Tribolium castaneum: one gene and its partners. The main gene of each other region encodes a partner of the protein of the gene in region 3 in a complex. Links are inferred from orthologs where the notes say so. Each region holds a gene or a part of one and is shown on either strand. Other genes may lie near its edges.

The links.
Region 1: the proteins of MED16 (region 3) and mediator of RNA polymerase II transcription subunit 25 are in contact, whole or in part, in a cryo-EM structure (PDB 7EMF), measured with the Homo sapiens proteins. The link is inferred for Tribolium castaneum from reciprocal best matches to the Homo sapiens genes MED16 and MED25. Residues at the interface, in NP_005472.2 of Homo sapiens: Cys41, Arg42, Ser92, Ser94, His113, Arg161, Lys163, Phe171, Gly172, Gly173, Lys174, Pro195, Gly485, Tyr486, Ala516, Ala517, Gln520, Val521, Thr524, Arg525, Ile554, Ala555, Ser558, Lys561, Ser562, Leu563, Leu564, Arg565, Pro566, His567; in NP_112235.2 of Homo sapiens: Ala26, Asn27, Gly29, Pro30, Tyr31, Val74, Asp75, Cys76, Ala77, Pro78, Glu79, Val82, Cys84, His85, Pro87, Lys102, Phe103, Met104, Gly105, Gly106, Gly107, Gly108, Glu109, Thr120, Gln123, Leu124, Asp127, Phe128, Tyr151, Leu152.
Region 2: MED16 (region 3) and MED20 share a complex: the UniProt entries of both Homo sapiens proteins name them as parts of the mediator complex. The link is inferred for Tribolium castaneum from reciprocal best matches to the Homo sapiens genes MED16 and MED20.

What each region holds. Positions count from the first base shown.
Region 1 is NC_087402.1:9,090,240-9,093,995, forward strand, and holds the start of mediator of RNA polymerase II transcription subunit 25, read left to right. Parts: upstream 1-1,086; 5' UTR 1,087-1,184; coding exon 1,185-1,306; intron 1,307-2,613; coding exon 2,614-2,784; intron 2,785-2,832; coding exon 2,833-3,052; intron 3,053-3,099; coding exon 3,100-3,448; intron 3,449-3,493; coding exon 3,494-3,739; intron 3,740-3,756. Other genes in the region: toll-interacting protein, read right to left, coding at 1-353, 401-699, 747-791. UniProt on the Homo sapiens protein: Component of the Mediator complex, a coactivator involved in the regulated transcription of nearly all RNA polymerase II-dependent genes.
Region 2 is NC_087398.1:429,297-432,089, forward strand, and holds MED20 (mediator of RNA polymerase II transcription subunit 20), read left to right. Parts: upstream 1-1,435; 5' UTR 1,436-1,571; coding exon 1,572-2,192; 3' UTR 2,193-2,264; downstream 2,265-2,793. Other genes in the region: uncharacterized protein LOC103313212, read left to right, coding at 1-291, 897-968, 1,016-1,100, 1,158-1,230; Hmbs (porphobilinogen deaminase), read left to right, coding at 2,477-2,521, 2,574-2,646, 2,706-2,793. UniProt on the Homo sapiens protein: Component of the Mediator complex, a coactivator involved in the regulated transcription of nearly all RNA polymerase II-dependent genes.
Region 3 is NC_087396.1:16,567,271-16,570,930, forward strand, and holds the start of MED16 (mediator of RNA polymerase II transcription subunit 16), read right to left. Parts: upstream 2,877-3,660; 5' UTR 2,760-2,876; coding exon 2,686-2,759; intron 2,638-2,685; coding exon 2,494-2,637; intron 2,449-2,493; coding exon 2,000-2,448; intron 1,951-1,999; coding exon 1,798-1,950; intron 1,753-1,797; coding exon 1,556-1,752; intron 1,506-1,555; coding exon 964-1,505; intron 1-963. UniProt on the Homo sapiens protein: Component of the Mediator complex, a coactivator involved in the regulated transcription of nearly all RNA polymerase II-dependent genes.

The DNA of each region.
Region 1 (3,756 bases), on a different chromosome or scaffold from region 3:
CCTCGATTTGTTTGAGCTCGGATTCACTCAAAGCAGGCGCGGCTTCAGTAGGAGGCGCTGTAAACACCTTCAAGGGTGTGACATTGCCCCCTGTTACGTTGGGCACCACCATAACAGGCGCCGGTGGTTGATATTTATATGAAGGGAACACTAGATAACTTAACACGAGATTAATCATTCCTTCGACACCTTCACCCTGTTTCCCATTTAATGGGTACCAATCCTCGTGGGTTTCCCCTGCAAGTACCTGTTGGGGGATCTGGAACTGCGTCCAGGCGATGAGTTCGTCCATCGTAAATGAGCGTTCGTCGAAAATTTCTAACGTTATGGTATTAATACCTTGAGGCAACAAACTGGAAATGGAAAAGTAGGGACTTGCTAGTTTTTGAGATGTGTTTACCAGTGAATAACTTTGTTCCATCGCGGGTTTTTGCCGCCGTTCGGGTCCGTATGCGTCTCGTAAACGCAATGCCCGACCCGAATCCGAGCGTAGGGGTCCATTCTGGTCATTCCGTAATTTTTTGCGAGCTTAGCTTGAGCAACAGTGATACTGAGCCTCCCAACGACATTTGTGTACTGTTGGCCACCGCTTAGCTGGTGGTGCAGTGCTATGGCTGTTTGGCGATCCGCTGCCTCTTGTTGTTGCTGAACCGAGGTGCTGATACGGAGAAAATCCTCCGGGAGGGGACCAAGGAGGACCTAAATTTCGGCATTAAAGCACGATTTTTTAAATCATTGGCACCTACCCGACTTCGCCTTTCTCTGACTTTGTCCGTTAGCGCCGATGCCATGGTGTTACACTATTTCAGATAAAGTAAAGACGCATTAATTCACTGTTTGCGGTGTTTGATGACAAATAATCAGCTGTTCACGGCAGACGTCAACACGCCTGACACTAGGGGAAAAAATATAATCCCAGTCTGGGATTAAATTTTATTAGTTTCTGGCGAAAATAGCCAGGTAGTTTTGGTTAAATGCAATCTACTAATAATTCTATTCAATTGATTAGTTTTCCAGACAACATTTTTGCATAATTTGGCTAAAATAAAATTTCATCTGAATGAAAGTGTTGCCATTAACTTGACGTAACATCCCTAAAAATTTGACAGGTATTTTCAATATGGCGGGGTTTGGTGCTTGTATTAAATTGTTTCATTAAAATTGTTTAATATTTTGACTAAACAATGGTTGTGTGTCCAGCTGATCATGGCTTACACGCCGATATCGTTTTTGTTATCGAGGGAACTGCAGTGAATGGTGCTTATATAAATGACCTAAAAACCAATTATATCATCCCTTCGTTAGAGTAAGTTTACTTTTTTTTGTAACTTCTGATGTATTACATGTTTTTCTCTACTACTGCTAAATTGTTTTTATTGCCTATTTGGCTTTACAGTCCTACTTGAAGTTATTTGATATTCTAGATATTCTTTACCTTTCCCAATTTTCTTTTGCACCCGTCACTTTTTTCATCCATTCTTTTCCCTTACCATTTTCGTTTAAAACTTTTTTTCGTATCAAACTTGCACACTCTTACCTCCACAAACTGTGACACTCTCCGCTTAATCTGCACACTGTTTCCCAATCTTCTCTCCAATATTCGTTCTCGCTTTCATTTCTACGTCTAAATCTGGCTATGATTTTCTTATCTTTACTTTACATCTTCCTTAAGTATGAGAGGAGTTCATCCGTCAATAAGCACGGCATATTTTACGTATTACACCTCGATTCTTTTTTCCATGTTATTCTTTCCTGCCTATCTATGTCCAAATCTCTCAATTTCAGTTCCTCTTCCATTGTTCGTCCCCTTTCTCTTATTCTTTTAATTTCTATACACACTTATTCCTTCTTCTCATAGGAGTCTTTTCGTCCTTTCCATCTAACATTTTCATTTGCTTTTTTGATTTCTGTTCAACACTGTTGCATTCACGCAGAATTCTTAATTTCTCTTCAAATCCCACCGCTCTCTTTCCTTAATCTACTCTTAATTTTTTTCTCTTCCTTTTTTTACTATGTACTCTGGCATTTGTTTATTTAGCCTGTTCGATCTCGTATTTCTTCCATCCCCACACTTCTGCTCAAAATAGTCCCTACATTACAGTGCTTTTCCCTAAGCTATTATTTTTCTCTTGAAATTTTCACTAAATTTACGTTCTCCCAAGCTTCAAACATTTCCTAAAACCCCATTTGTTTTTTTTTGCTGCTTCTTTTATATGGGCTGTGTCTGACATCTTGCTACTTATTACTCTCTTCTAACTGAAATAGTGAAGATTGACTAAAATAATACAGTACATATCTGATTCAGATACTTCAAGTCTTTCACTTGTTCTATATTTTTCCTTCCCATTGCCATTCATCCTCTTTTCCGAATTCCCATACTACTTTTCTTTCCAAATATCATCATTTTTGTTGTATCTACATCTACATTTCCAATCTTTTATTTCTCTGTTTTTTCTCGTGATGAATTCTGAACGGATAGTTGAACAAGGTTTGAGGTACTGAGAAATCAGTGTAACCTTGCTTTGTTATGATAAAAATTACACCCTGATACGAAAAAGTAGTAGTAGTAGTTTTTAATTGGAGAATATGTTCTTGTAACTGAGGGACTTTTAGATATTTTAGTCAGGGGAGTATTGATGAGAGCAACTTCCTATCAGAAGGGATTAATTCTTATTACGGAATTGTGGTGTATCAGGCTGCTGATTGCTTACCGCACCCCAGTAGCGACACAATTGGGCCCTTTGTAAGCCCCAGTAAGGTATTAAATGCCATAGACAAACTTGAGTAAGTTCTAACTAGGAAAAGGATCACTTAATGTAAAAATTATTTCAGACTTATAGGAGGTAAAGGCGAGTCTCATGCAAACATTGCTGAAGGTTTAGCCACAACCCTTCAATGTTTTGACGAATTGCAGCAAAAACGTGACAATAACGGCAACATTCAAAAGCATTGTATTCTAGTGTGTAACTCGCCCCCTTATTCTCTAGGGGTTTTTGAAACTCATGCTTACACAGGGAAGACAGCTGAGCAACTAGCAGCTATTTTGCAAGAAGTAATTAACCAAGTGTCTTCCACCAAATTTGCATAATTAACTTTCAGAAAAATATCAATTTGTCGATTATCTCGCCGCGCAAAATCCCCTCGTTGTATAAACTGTTCGAGAAAGCCGGCGGTGATTTGAGCGCTTCCCAGACGAAAAACTACGCCAAGGACCCCCGTCACTTGGTCCTCCTGCGCGGCTTCAGCCTGAAGGAGCGCCCCCTGAGCCCCCCTGCCGGTACCGCCACTTCCGCCCAAACCCAAATTTCTAACACTACCATTCCTATAACCTCTCTCCCCAGCCCCTTAGCCAGCAATGACAGCCCCATCTCGTCATCCTCGTCCGCCAACTCCGGGGTTCCCTCAGGAGTGGGCCCATCGCCCGTCTATCGGCCGCCCAGCGCTCAAGGTATAACCCCCCAACACTCACAAAATGTTACACCAGGCATGGTAGGTATGGTGAACGCCCGAGGGGCCATGATGGGCAACAACCCCATGAACATCCCGCAATTGCCCGCACCGCCGGGCTACCACCAAGCGAACCGGCCCAGATGGCCAGCTATGTTGCCCCCAACGCAGCCCAGGTCGTATCTGCCGCCCAACCAACAGGTTAATACCACCCAAAGTAGCGCACTGATTGCACAGCTGACACAACCCCCGAATTCTATGCCGGGGACTGGGGTTAATCAATTTGGACAAAGTAAAAGAGAAGTTTTT
Region 2 (2,793 bases), on a different chromosome or scaffold from region 3:
AGCCCCAAGACCCCCCGCTGGAGGTGGTGTCAGAGAGCGAGTTCGTGGAGGTGGTGCTGGTCTCGGCCCATTCGCTAGTGCCCCTCAGAGGCGTGCTTATACACTACACTGCCGTGGGGTGTCCCACCCCCGACGCCCCTGAAGACGGCTACCTGGTCTATAGGAACGAAACAGCTGCAGAATACAGGTGCTGCATCAATCGGGCCTTTGAAGACGACGGACAAAAAACCAAAATCATCAACTGCGAGGGGGCCAAGTGGGACGTCGACCTCCCTCTGCCCAACTGTACTAGTAAGTTTGATTAGACGCTAAATGGAATTGACCTCCGACCCCGCTTTTTAATTTTTAATGAGATAAAGTGTTGTGTGCGAACAAAGATAACGCCGAAACTCCACATTTCGTGCTTTGTGCGAGTTTGCTAGTTTGGATAAAACAAAGATAAACTGAACGTAAGCCCTACAAAACAATTTCGCATTCGATGAAACTCCCAAACAAAATCTAATTATATTATGGAGTCTACGCCTCTGCCTATTGACTTGTTGGTGTTTCCGTTCAACAAAACGTTCCCGTATTGCTTTATCTCTCTCGCGATGCTCAGTTGTCAACGGAAAATCGTGTAGGAACCACGTGGATTACCTAGAGGCGTTTTTCGCGATAAAAAGAATTGTAGGAGTTTGCACTAACGAGGCAAATAGTGAGTGTTTCTAGAGTTTTTTTTCATGTAATTGTATTTTTAGCGTCCAATTAGACAAAGCAGTTGAGGTTATATTGTATTGTTATAAAAAAAATCATTATGAAAAGTTTTGTTGTTATCAAATTGCGGAATTGCGCTTCAGACCACATTCATTAAGTCAGCGGCGACTCGTGAACAAGGCTAAATTTACTCATTTTTTCAGAAAAACTTCAACAAAAGCCTCTGCTAACTGTTCAAGACATCGGAAAATCGAAAAATATCGAAATGGTTTCAGGTAACGCATTTTATGATTTGTTTAGGTTGCTGTTAATTTTTTTTCAGATGTTTTAGCACCGGCCTTACTCATAGCGGCTTTATTTTTGATAAATTTTATGGTTCTATTTTACATTTATAAAATTAAGCAAAAGTAAGTTGCTAATTTAGACTAATTTTTTTTCATCCATTGATCTTGTTTTTTTTTTAGACACGCTGAAGAATTTGCTGACGAAGAATTAGGAACGTTGCCACTGTCAAGTTGTGAGAAAGCCTCGCCTTGAATTATTTATTTGTAAAAATGACACTTTTATAATAAAAGTTTTATTTAATAATCGCTATTTTATTCCACCACTTTGAAAGTTGCAGTTTGGCGCGTAAGAACACTAGGAATTTTCGTTAGCTAAGGTTTACCAAAATAAAAACGCAATTTTCAAAAAAATTTATTGTTATAAATCAAATCCAAAAATACGGTAAATATAAAACATATGTTTACATTATGATTCAAGAGATAAGGGGTCAACGACTTTGAACTTGTAGCATTTTTGACACCTAGCTAAGTTGGCACCACTGACGATCATTAAGCTATAATAACCTCAATTTAGCCCCCAAAAATCCACTTAAAATGGGGGTCACAGTGTTACAACAGTTCCCCACAGAGAACCGCACGGGGCCCTCCACCATTGAGCTCCTCTCGAAGCGAATTTCCGCCCTGGGGGCCCTGCAACAGGGCCAGTTTCTCGTCGATTGCGAAACGTTTACTTCTTGTGCCGCTTTGGGACACCAACGTACAGTCCACGTCCTTCACAATTCCGAGCAGCCGGCGACTGTTTTTTCGATCCTTGAGACAGGCCAAAAGACCATTCCTCTCGCAACTGACGGCCTTTTTGATCTCCTGATGATGAAAATGTCCGGTTTTTACTCATCAAAAAAACAGACTAAGGCCGAGTCGAAGGGGCCGCGATACGAAATCGGTGATTTTTGTGTAAAATTGGGAACAGTGACTGTAAGTCAGAACTTTCGGGGGGTTCTGGTTGAAGTAGAGTATCGACCATGTGTGGTGCCTGCGATGTGTTGGGAGTTGATGCGGGAGTTTCTGCAGGGGTTTTTGGGGTCGTCGGTGCCTGCAACGCCCCCACCGTATTTGCAAAACAGGATGCAGGAGTTGTATACCCCCATTGATACAATTCATCAGTATTTGGAGCAGTTTACGATATTTAGGAAGGCCCCCGGTTTAAGGCCCTAATTTTAAGCTAATTTATTGTAAGGTTCAAAGTTTTTGTAAAGAAAAAATTAAATAAAAACAATTTTGAGGTTATATTGTCTTTCTCTTTTACTCCCACACATTAGACTATTATGCGTCTTTGTCTAATTACATAATTTGGAAAGTTGATTGTTCACCTCTATCAGCACTTACGTAGGGCAGAATGTGATAGTGGTGATGAAGCAGTTTTTTTTCAATAAAACAGCATGAAAACATAATCATGCGTTTGCGGTAATTGTTCCTTACTTGAGAGAAAAAGCACAAAAATGAGTGAGATTGAGAAAATCCGGGTTGGATCCCGGAAAAGCGAGGTATTTATCACGTGTTTGTTATTGTGGGCTCTTTTTCATTTGACATTTTCAGCTGGCTCTCATTCAAACGCGACATGTGATTTCACTGCTCAAAAAAATTCATCCTGGGAAGGATTTTGAAATTGGTGAGGTTTCGCAAAAAATTCCCAAAATTTATTTATTTATTTCAAAAATTTATTTTTAGTAACAATGAGTACATTAGGAGATAAAGTCCTAGATATACCGTTACCAAAAATTGGTGAAAAATCTCTCTTCACCAAAGAACTTGAAGC
Region 3 (3,660 bases):
TAAACTTAAAGACTACTGCAATGTCACAGAAATTACGTGTGTATGCAAAATTTCAGCTTGTTCAGATATCGGAAGATGAATTTTACTCGCAAAATTCGAGGTGTTGCGCCTAAAGCACACATTAAAAGTGTTTCCGGTTCCAATAACAATATTCATCAAAAAATTTGTTTAGTCAGGTATCAAAATATTTTCAAGGTGGTGGCACTTCCGCTTATACAGAAATTGGAAACATTTTTTTTAGTGAAAAGCTATATTCTTTATTGCTTTTTTTTGGCTACTCAAATTTTTCTCAAATATTTTGTGTTTATGTTTCCTTTTGTTTTCTAGATATGTATTTATATTTTTTTAAAACTGTTTAGATTTGCACCTTCCCTTTCAAAAATCGACAACATTGTCATTTATAATATTTCGAAATCGTATTTGGGCATTTAGAAGAGAAAGCTTTATTCCCTTATTGGTGTTTTCAAAAAAGTTAAAAAAAACATTTTAAAGTTACGTTTGGGAACATCTCATTTTTTTTAATGTAACCCTAAGCTTTATAAATAACTTGAAAAATATTATGGTGGTTATAGTTGGCTCGATGCAAAATTACTGGTAGTTTTTTTCTTCATTTAGTAAAGAAAGAATCAATTTGGCAAAATTGTGTTTTAAGTAGTTGAATTTCTTCAAACGTAATCTTTCAAATTTAGAGTTTGTCACTCTTTACGGAATTTAAAATTTGAAAAAAATCTAATCATTTTCTTTGAAATACTCTACAGGAACTTCGATTTTTGAAAAAGAAGGTGCAAATCAAAAAAATATAAATATTACAAAAACTGTTAACTTTGCTATAAAAAAACTGGTAAAAACTCCTTAAAATATCTCGCATAATACAAAAATACAGTAAAATCATAAGCTTTCTATTTAAAACAATAATTAAATAATAAAATTTTGTCACCCAATGTCGGTAAACTAGGAACCTACCTGCATAGCGATATTTTCATGCACAAATACTGCACGTAGAAAAACTGTTGCACTGCCGAGGGCTGGCGATTAAAACTTTCGGTGAGTCGGTCACATATCGCGTCCAACATTCCAGGTCTTAACACTAGCAACAAGTCTAACCAATCAAAACCGCTCATCATGCAATACTCTAAAATCGTGGTACAGTAAGGTACACTTAGAGGCGTTGAGCTGTCGATTTGGGGCGGTAACTTAAACATATGCAGACTATCGTCTGAATCAATCACGAGTAAAATATTGCCGAGCCAGGACATGTCAATGTTTGAGATTTTGATGCTAGTTTTGGGGTATCTGGCGAGAGGTTCGTCAAAATAACGCGGACAAATGGTCAAAGTGGTGCTGACCAAATGTTTTAGAGTGTCTCTGTAGAGGCAATGGATGGAATTGTCGGCAAATGTGGCCACGACATAACCACTTGAAACATTATTTAATAGACTTAGTTTACTTGTAGCTAGTGAAGTGACCTTGCTGTTATACTGGAAGTGGCACTGGTATTGCCACAACTAAAAAATAAGTAAGTATCGATTATCACATGATGAGATAATAGACGTACGACAGTGTTAAAAAACTGGGGAGTTTCAGATTTTCCTAGTGATTTGTGAACCGGCAAAGCCTTCTCTCTCAATTCCCACACTTGCAAACAGCTTATTTTATCACTAGTGGCTGAAACAACCACCGAATCTGCGTCCTCTCTCATTATCCATTTGATATGACTTATGTGGCAATTTTTTTCTTTGGAAACTTGTTCCACTAAAACAAACGTTAAACAACGGCTTAAATGACTCAGTTTGTTACTTAATGCTTCCTTAGGCGCCTCAAATAGAAAAAAACTGAGTAAAGACTGGCTTGTGATGACACACTTATCTTCAGCTTTCCTGACAGAGACTTTATAACACTGAATAGGCATTGATAAGTCTCCGTTACTCACAGCGAGCAAAAAATGACCGTCTACACAATAACATTATTTGGTGTTTAAATGATTTTGTAAAAAACCTACTTTTGCCATAGCAAATATCAGCAGCTTTGATAAAAATCCTAGTAGGGGCCAGGCTTTCTGTCGCCATGACCATTGCGACCTGGCTCGTGCTTTGGGGGAGTAAAATCGAGCACAACATTCCCGTCGTTGTGAGTAGCAGGGCCCCACTGGCAGGGCGCCCCCCAAACTGTTTAACAGAGCAGGCAAACTTGACATGGTGAAACTTTTCCGTGTACAAAGCGCTGTCTTTTTTCTCAGAGTTGAGGCAGATTTTCTTGCCCGAGTGGAAAAACGCCGCTGACAGAATGTGCTCCCCTTCTAGGACAGTCTGGAGGACAAGGGTCCAGTCATTTAGGATGTGGTCTTTAGCTTTGTAAATTTTTATCGAGCCGTTTTCGTCCGCGACTAGCAGAAGGTCGCCCGTAAAGTCCCACTGGAGCACCGAAATGGGGGAAGAGTTTGATAATATTCTGGAAATGGAGGTTTAATACAGGAAAGTGTTTTTGGGGACGTACTTGTGGACCTGCCAGGGACTGTTTAAATCGCAGACGTAGACATTAGAGTTCCAAAAGAGGGAACCCGCTTCTTCGATATTGCATTCCGTGCTGAAAGCAACAACGTTGGAGCTTGAAATCGAGCATAAGGTTGACTTCTCGAGTCTGGAATTCAAACGGTTGGTAAATGGTTAACTTTCGTTTGGGCGGTACTTGGTGAATGATAGATGCTTGCTGGTGTCCACCGATTTATTTATTTTCTTATTAATGGTGAAAATATGGTCCATTTTTCGGTATTTATCTAATGAAGCATCTTTTTAAAACTTTACTGAATTGGCAGATTTTTGACACCTGACAGCTGTCGGGCATACGCGTGAATGTACGCTGACGAGAAATCTTCTATTCTCATAAAATTGCTCACAAAAGTAAATTACGAAGTGTTGTTCGAATTGTGTAAGCTCTGAGTTTAGGTTTGATGGATAGAAAAAAAAATAAAAGGTTAGCGATTAGTAGAGAATTCTCATGAGTGTACATTCTCGGGAGATGCAATACTGGTTGCGCGCGAAACATTGCCAACGTTACGAGGGACAACATAAAAGTATCCAAATACGAGAAGTACCCACCTGGGCGGAGTTTAATTGGATATTGGTGTTTAAATACTGGATGTCTTATTTCAGTTCCTTTTCAAACCTTGCAATAGTAAAGCAAGTCCACATGCGACTGCTTTAAAAACCCCTGATTTAGTAACCTTTTTTTAAAGTAGTCATGCCCCAGTGGGTGCTATAAGAATTTAGCAAACTCTATTTCGTGGAGGTGGTTTGAATAAATTGCAACGAAAATTGTAAAGGACTTTTATTGTATATTCTAAGTGTATAATACAAAAAATATTTTCATAATGGCCTATAACTGTATAAACAATGCCTTTAATAACAATCTTAAAATAATGAAGACATAAGTTGTGACTAAAACAACCAAGAAACAACGCCTTTCATAAATTAGTACCGATTTTTAATAACTGTAGGGCATCTGGGAAATAACGCTAGAGATATCGGATAGTGTCACTTGAGAGGAATGTTATTCGTTTTTAAAAAATAAATGCAAAAGCGTAAGTACTTAGGGGAATTAGGTAATATGCACAAGCAACAATTACACATCGTTTCATTCTTATTGGTAGACACGAATTGTGCG